Linked DNA regions of Oryzias latipes. The protein of the gene in region 1 interacts with the protein of each later gene in a biochemical or structural test. Links are inferred from orthologs where the notes say so. Each region holds a gene or a part of one and is shown on either strand. Other genes may lie near its edges.

Region 1 (3,824 bases):
GAGACATATTTTAATTTTTTAATGTCAGGACACGGGCTCCGTACATTAGAACTTAAACACTGTCCATAAAACCTAACCTGAGAGGATCAGATTTAAAAGGATTTATGCTAGATTAAAAAGCAAACATGTTTTCTATGCAACTGTAATTGTCACTTTAAAAAGTTATAATAAAGAAATGAGTAATTTAACATTAAGGAGGAGTTGCGTTTATTTTTCATTACATTTAGTTACATGTATAAGTTATGTCTGGCCCTTTGAGGACAACCACTATGCTGATGTGGCCCTCAGTGAAAATGAGTTTGACACCCCTGTTGTATGGTATTGGCTTCTTTCTGCAGTTATTAATTTTTGTGAATTTTCAGCTGTGCTGTTTTTTTAATAGGATAATAATGGTGTAATTGGTCTTCTGGAGCCCATGAAAACATGCCCAGTCCCAGTGAAGATCCCCATCCCAGAACCTGCTGTAAAAATTGCCTCAGGTGAGTAAAACCTCCCGGGAATTTGCTTGAAGTTTTATTTAAAGATTCTAGGCTGATTATGGCCCACAGCGGTCAAGGACTCCAAGGACCATATTGTTTTTGCAACGACTGACAAAAACTATATGGTTTAAAAAACTCAAAGGAAAGGAATAAGCCCCAAAAGACATGACCAGTGTGTAGTAAAACACAAAATACAAAGACACAGTCGGTCCTAACCGCAAAAACTTGTAGATTGTTTCTGCAATACTTATGATTCCGCTTTCTATCTGCGCCTTTGAGCGAAAAATTTGACCCCACCACATACACAAAAAAACTCACCAAAATCTGCACACATTCAAAAAAAAAAAAACTTAGTTTCAGATACAAACGAAAACGCGTCCTAGGGATTTTTATCTATAGTCTCGTAACTTCTCGGCCATCAATGGCAAGCCACTGTGGAAAAATGTCAGAATTGGAGGTTGTAGATTTTGGATGGTTGTACGTGGCAAGTTGCAACTGTTGCGATCTTAGCTAGCTCGCACATTTCTTATTGGGGTGTCGTAAAAATTCAATATGCATTTCCCTGGCCCAAGCTGAATAAAACGATGCAACATTCTAGATGACAATGTTAAAATAGTGGGTGTGGTAAACAAAAAATGTCGCAAAAAATTGTGCTGAATCAGCTAAATAAATTTTCTTTCTAAATGGAAATCTACTTACGAAACCAATATACCTTTGTCTGGGATATCCAATGAAAGAAGTTATGAAATAGTTATGAAATACTTATGGAATGGCGACACACCTATGGTTTGTTGGCCATTTTGTGCCAAAATTGGAGATTTGGCGTAGTGGAGTTTTGTCAACATTTGACCTCGGGAAGAGGCCGCCACCTTTAATTAAAAGCAGTTATGGAAAAGATGTTGCAATTAGAAGTTGTACATTTTTAACGGTGTGCGAGTGGTGAGCTAGCTAAAGTGGCATTCTCTTATTACTCGCACATGTTTAAATGGAAAACTGTGAACATTTAATGCATGTATCCATGACTAGAACTGAACAAATTAATATAACATTGGATACAAACATATAAGTAATGTGGGTGTGGTACCAAAACAAAATGATTGCTATAAAGATAAAACTAACAGAAAAGCCGCCGTTTTGAAGAAAGTGGATTTTCTATCAACTTACCACATGTGGCTCTTACCAGTATTAGCATCTGAAGTAAGGCGTTTTTCTGAGTCAGTTGATGATGCTGATAGTATTGCTAGCACTTTTATCCACATGCAGCTCAGACAGCCTATCAGAAAGACAAGTGAGAGTTAGATGTGCGTCGTGACTGCTAAGCAAGCAAGTTCGTTTCAAAGATGGGTGGTGAGAGCGGCGGTGGTGCCTATACCCCTGCGGCGTTGATACATAGAGGCTGATGGCAAGGGCTGGTAGTGCCTGTGGGCTGTACAACACCACTTGCGCCTTGAATTTTTTTTTGTAAAGTGCAAGTAGAGCTGTCCAAAGTGCTCACTTTGTGTCAGTGCATTTGAGCACAAGTCCCTTTACACCAAAACAAATGGAACATTCAAATAAATATAAGCAGAAGTGACTGCTATGAAAACATTAAGTGTACATCATCTTGTTATAAACTAGTTCAAACTGTCTTTGTCAGATGTTTGTCTCCTTGTTGTCTTCACGGATGCTCTGACAGGAAACGACCACTTGGTGTTAGTGACACGGGATGGGAATCTTTACACATCAGGCTGTGCAGAGCAGGGGCAGCTGGGAAGAGTGCCTGAGCATTTTTCAAACAGAGGTGGTAGAAAAGGTCTTGGTAGGTGAAGTTGTTACAACAGCAAAACACTAAACAATATTGTGGTTAAATCTTACCCATGTCATTTTTTTACTCTACCTTGCTGTGGTTTTTAGAGCGACTCCTGGTGCCGCAGATGGTGAAGCTGAAGGGGAAAGTTCACTTTATAGATGCTTTCTGTGGAGCTTACTTTACCTTTGCTGTGTCACAAGAAGGACACGTTTATGGATTTGGCCTCTCAAACTATCACCAACTGGGTAAGTTTGACTCATAAGAGTTTATCCTTAACTCCTTAACTCACTGTGTGGGAATCAACACTTCCCATGAGTCTTAGTGGCCATGGGCGGGGCTAAGCCCCAGGTCCCCACAACATATCGCCCAGCCCTAGCTCCAGCATTCTGCGCACCCACGTGAATAACAAGGAGGGGGGTCAGGCGCTGAGCACAAGCCAATGTGTGTTCTCAGCTCCTGCGCCCAGCGGGAGTAATAAGGAGGGGGGTCAGGCGCGGCGCGCAAGTGAGTCTGTGAGCGCGCATTCAGTTTGTGTTACACAGTTAGGGAGAACAGTAAAAAGGTTTCCTCAAAAAGAACAGAGACTGGTTCTTTTATTAACCCACTCTGGAGGCACTGAGGGCCTGAACGTGCCCGGGCCTTAACACCTGGTGCACCCGGCGTTCGTGAAAATACGGTAGTGATGGCGTGAACTGGAATATGCTTGTTAATTCTTGTCAAACTTATAAAAGCAACAGGGAACATTTGGTTGAACTCCAAGGTTTCATTTGATTATTTCTGAATTATTTGCCCAGGCACCAAAAGCACCAAGATGTGTTTTGTTCCTGTAAAACTGACGTGCTTCAAGAACTCCACCACTACCTGGGTGGACTTTTCTGGAGGACAACATCATACGCTGTGTCTTGACTCTGAAGGTAAACAACACATGAATCCAAATGTATTTGATATTCTACAGAATTTAGCATTTTATCTTCTGAAAAGCTTTTGATGAAGTAGATATTTTTAAAGAGCCTATATCATGCAAAATAAACTTTATTTTTTAGCTTTTAGGGGTATTATAATGTTAACTCTTAACAAAATATAACCCAAGCGGTACATCCATTCATGCATTTCTGAGTATTCCTGGAAAACCCTGGAAAAGTTTTGGAAATTGAAAATGCTAGGTCTTTGAAAAGTTTGTGAAAAACAAAATATTCTGCAAAGTTTTAGTAAAGTCATGAAATTTTAATATTTGGATGCAAAAAACATACAAAATTAAATAGTTTTACACGAGATTCGAATTTGGAAGAAAGTGGAAGTAGTTTAACTTCATGCTGTCGGGATGGGAAATTTTCGTCAACTCGGCGCATGACCCTTTCAGCTTGCTATCGTGAAATGCTACGAAATATGCCAGTGTAGGTAGCTCTGCAGCAGCAGAGCTACGTCCGGATGCTCTTTGTGGATTACAGTTCTGCTTTCAACACAATAATCCCGGACAGACTCTGTGACAAACTGCTCACTCTTGGCCTCCCACCCCTCACATGCAATTGGATTAACAACTTCCCCATCACCCGCAC
Region 2 (3,824 bases), on another chromosome or scaffold:
GAGGAAATCAGCATGTTTTCATATAAATGAGCCCAATATAAAGCTAATAAAGATCGGAGCAGAAAACAGATTCTGTTCGACTCCACATTTAGGAACATTAGATGACAGAAAAGGGGTTTTAGCTCGTTAACACGAGTCCAGTGTTCCAGTATTTCCAGGTTTGTTATTGTGAGGAAAGAAGTCAGAACTGAACAGCATTTGCAAAAAACTGCAGTGAAAGTGGAGGAGTCCCACCAGCTGAGGAGTGAACCCCCTTAAGGAAGACGGCTCTGCAGGTTTTAGCTCTAAAGCCTTCCATGGATGACTCTATATTACTTTTTAAATCACGCTCTTCAGGCTGAATTCATGCTCAGCTGCCACCCTGGAGGCTGGAATTCAGGTCCAGGTGGACCAACCAGGAGGTGCAAGAAGGAGGAAACGAGGGCAAAGGCTAGAGAGAGGAGGATGCAGAGAGGGCGCCCCCTAAAGGGAGAAGCAGGAAGGGGAAAAAAACAAATTAAACCGTCTCCCCGTGGAGCGGTTTTATTTTCACTGAAACTTTACGTTTGTTTTTTTACAGGGCGCTGTGTTCTGCATCCTGATTGGCTTTAGACCTTGTCAATGGTCGTGTCTCCAGTGCAGAATGCGTCCACTTTGTTACATTTACAGACATTTTCCATCGGGATCAGATCTTTGTTTTCATTCTCTAATCCTGGACCTTTTTTTACTCTGTAGTTTGAGAGTTTAAATGAGAGAAAAGTGTGTAGATTTACAGCCTTAAAACATCTCTTCTTCACAGATTTCTCCTACTGCTGGTTCTTTTAGAACGTAACTCCCCCGATAATCTAATACTGTCATTCCAAATCTGTAAAAGTTACTTTTTGTTTCATGATTAAAGACATTTTGTAAAAACATAAACACGTCCTTCGTTCATGGTTATGGTGTCATCTGTTTCCGATGCATCGTAGCTGCTTTTCTCTTTTACGATTTTTCTGGGTGTGGTCAGAGCGAGCTTTGGACAACAGCGCCCCCCATTGAGCACCTGATTTGTGGGGGGGGTTAGTCAGCATTTATGCACATTTTAACAGAGACTGTCCCAGAGGAAGAGACCCAGACTAAACTGAACAGCAGTCATGTCTCACCAGTGACTTGGCCGATGGGGGTGAATGATCTTTGTTATTCAAGAAGAGCGACGGAGTCACAGACGCTCCATCTGATGTCTTTTTCACGCCATTGGTTCCACAACTGGAATCTAAAACCGTAGAAGGAATGTTAAAATGACCACCGTCGTTTTCACAGAGTCTGACCATCAATGAATGAAGTTTCTGCAGAGACTGAAATCCTTTAGCATGACTTTCTGCAACTTTGAGAACATCTTAACCATCTTTCACTACTTTTTAGAAAAGTTTCTGGTTTTTCCACTAAGAGACATTTTACTTATGACCTTTACAGATGTAGTAGATAGCCAAATACTTAGAAAATATTTGATTTAACACGGCACCAATCTATTCTTTACCGACACTTGAATAAAAACTTAATGAAACGTGACGATTTGGGGAAATATTTGAATGATTAAGTTAACGACAGGACATTTTTTAATAGAGCCTACATGAAATGTTCAGTAACCTGAAAGCCATTCATTAATAATTAGAAGATGTTTTTTTCTTGAGTCTTCACTCTTAAGCTGACTTCTAAAGCACTGTCATAACACGCGAGTGTCACAGGTCACAGGTTGTGAGGATAAACTCATTTTTAAATTCCTTGTATATTTTATTTGAACAAAAGGCCTGACTATCAGCGGTTATCATTAATTTATGAATAAGATTTTCTTTATCTACTACGGACAAGCTCTATATGCTGCACATTCTCAAACTCCCCTCAGAAATACAGTGCAGAGCTTCACCTGAACACTGAGTGTAGGCTAGAAGGGATTTTACTGTTTAATGCAGTCAAAGTGTAAAATGTACTCACTTGACTCTATATGTGATTTGGAGGGTGGAGCTTGGAGAACGGCGGGGCGGAGGACACTGCGTTGCTGTTCCTTGGGTTTCTGACTTGGGACGCCTATAACAGAGATTGGGATGTTTGGGATGTCTAAGTTCAATAAATACATAACCTAGCCCCTCCCCCTTTTTGCAGGATCTGTGTGACGTTTGTAAGTTGGAAGTCAAAGTACTTTCTATGCTAGTAAACACATGTAGAGCATGAGGTTACCTGAACTGGGGGCTTGTCCGTGTATTAGAGTCGGTGGCTTTAAGCGGAATCCCACAGGTTTCTCTTCTGGTGAGACAGCATGAGAGAAGAAAACAAATCAGGAGAAAAACTAGTGGAGAATAGCACAGTAACATATAATAGACATGTTCTTCCCCAACCACAGGTCCAGTTACCACAGCAACCTCAAGAGAGGCCGATGAGTTGTGTAGCAATCCAGTTCTTGTGCAATGGCATGGCAGCCTCTCTGGCGTCGGATCTATTTCTACTTTTGTCTTGCCAACTCTCTGGCTTTATTAGCTTGCATGACCTGCTCTAATCTGTGGCGAAGCAGAGAGCGCCACAGCAAAGGAAAAACAGTCAGGCCTGGTACAGGTCGGTGGTCAATAACGCTCCATCAGGTTAACGTGGAGTGTACATTCAGCTGGCAGGACACGGGCAGATAACGACCCCAAAGTGGTTTGTACTCAACACTTTTGTGGGAGCAACAAACATAATGTACTTTGCAAAACACAGAAATGTGGTAAATGCTGCGTTTCCCTTTTATGTGGTCACATTTGATCTGCCGCCGTCCAATAAATACCATCCTGCTGTTTATTCAGCTTTAAAAATTTGGCCTACATCCAACTCCCAAATGACCCGATTTTACTCCGGTTCCTCATCCTACCGGGCAGTTTGACGGTGCAAACACACAAATCCAACAACGTTTAGAAAGAAGCTCCCCAGAGCTGTAAAAAAAACGATTTACAGGAGGAATTGGTGCTGATCAGTGTGTCTGATCTGTTGATGTAAATCATTCAATCACGTGATCTTGTTGGTGTGTTTTTTCTCTGTACTTTTGTTTTTAAAGCAGTGAAATGTGACATGAATAATGTTGGATTTTACCAAAAGCACAGACTCTTCTGCAGGCAGACGTCTGTTCTGTTCATGCATGGAAAACCTCCTAAACTACAGTCTTGTTCTACAAATTACTCATCCTTAGGTTAAATATCAAGCCTGTTGGCTTTTAAATATTCTCTGTTCATATCAACTGGGGATGTAGGGAAAATCAATTTGGCGATATATTGCGATTTTTGTATCGATTTAAAATGCTGTCCAGACGACATTTATTTAATTATTGATGACCGTCCTTAAGCGTCTGGGATGGGTACCGAACCGAACCTCTGTGCCACGTTGTTGCCATATAAAAACGCAGGTTGTGGTGATTTTTAGAGGGCTCCAGATGAGAACAAGTCTCACATGTATCGCGATACGCATCGCCAGACTCGTCGATACCCACCCCTAATATCAACAAATGAATGAGTTGTCAAAAAGAATTACATTACATTTTCTCGCCTAACAGATTTTTTTTCTGTGTAATTTTATTTATTTATTTTTTCTGCGCCACGATTGGCTGTAGACCATGTCAATCAATCTCGGTGAGGTGTTTTCTGTTCAGAATCCGTGCAGTTTGCTGCATAAAAATAAATCTTCAATCATGATCACTTCTGTGTTTTTATTCTTTAAAACTGTTCGTATTCATCTGTGAAGGTTTGAACTTTGAGTTTAAACAAGAGAGAAATGTGTGAGAATGTCTGTCTGAGAAAAGTCTATAGTGTGTAGTGAGGAGTTTTACTGCCTTAAAACATATAGAA

Evidence for each region.
Region 2: the proteins of rcc1 (region 1) and ranbp3 form a complex in vitro, tested with the Homo sapiens proteins (2 studies listed by BioGRID). The link is inferred for Oryzias latipes from reciprocal best matches to the Homo sapiens genes RCC1 and RANBP3.

The regions. Positions count from the first base shown.
Region 1 is NC_019874.2:66,415-70,238, reverse strand, and holds part of rcc1 (regulator of chromosome condensation), read left to right. Parts: intron 1-382; coding exon 383-479; intron 480-2,154; coding exon 2,155-2,277; intron 2,278-2,372; coding exon 2,373-2,513; intron 2,514-3,062; coding exon 3,063-3,182; intron 3,183-3,824. UniProt on the Homo sapiens protein: Guanine-nucleotide releasing factor that promotes the exchange of Ran-bound GDP by GTP, and thereby plays an important role in RAN-mediated functions in nuclear import and mitosis.
Region 2 is NC_019875.2:30,546,259-30,550,082, reverse strand, and holds part of ranbp3 (ran-binding protein 3), read right to left. Parts: intron 2,260-3,824; coding exon 2,194-2,259; intron 2,044-2,193; coding exon 1,951-2,043; intron 1,232-1,950; coding exon 1,122-1,231; intron 1-1,121. UniProt on the Homo sapiens protein: Acts as a cofactor for XPO1/CRM1-mediated nuclear export, perhaps as export complex scaffolding protein. Bound to XPO1/CRM1, stabilizes the XPO1/CRM1-cargo interaction. In the absence of Ran-bound GTP prevents binding of XPO1/CRM1 to the nuclear pore complex.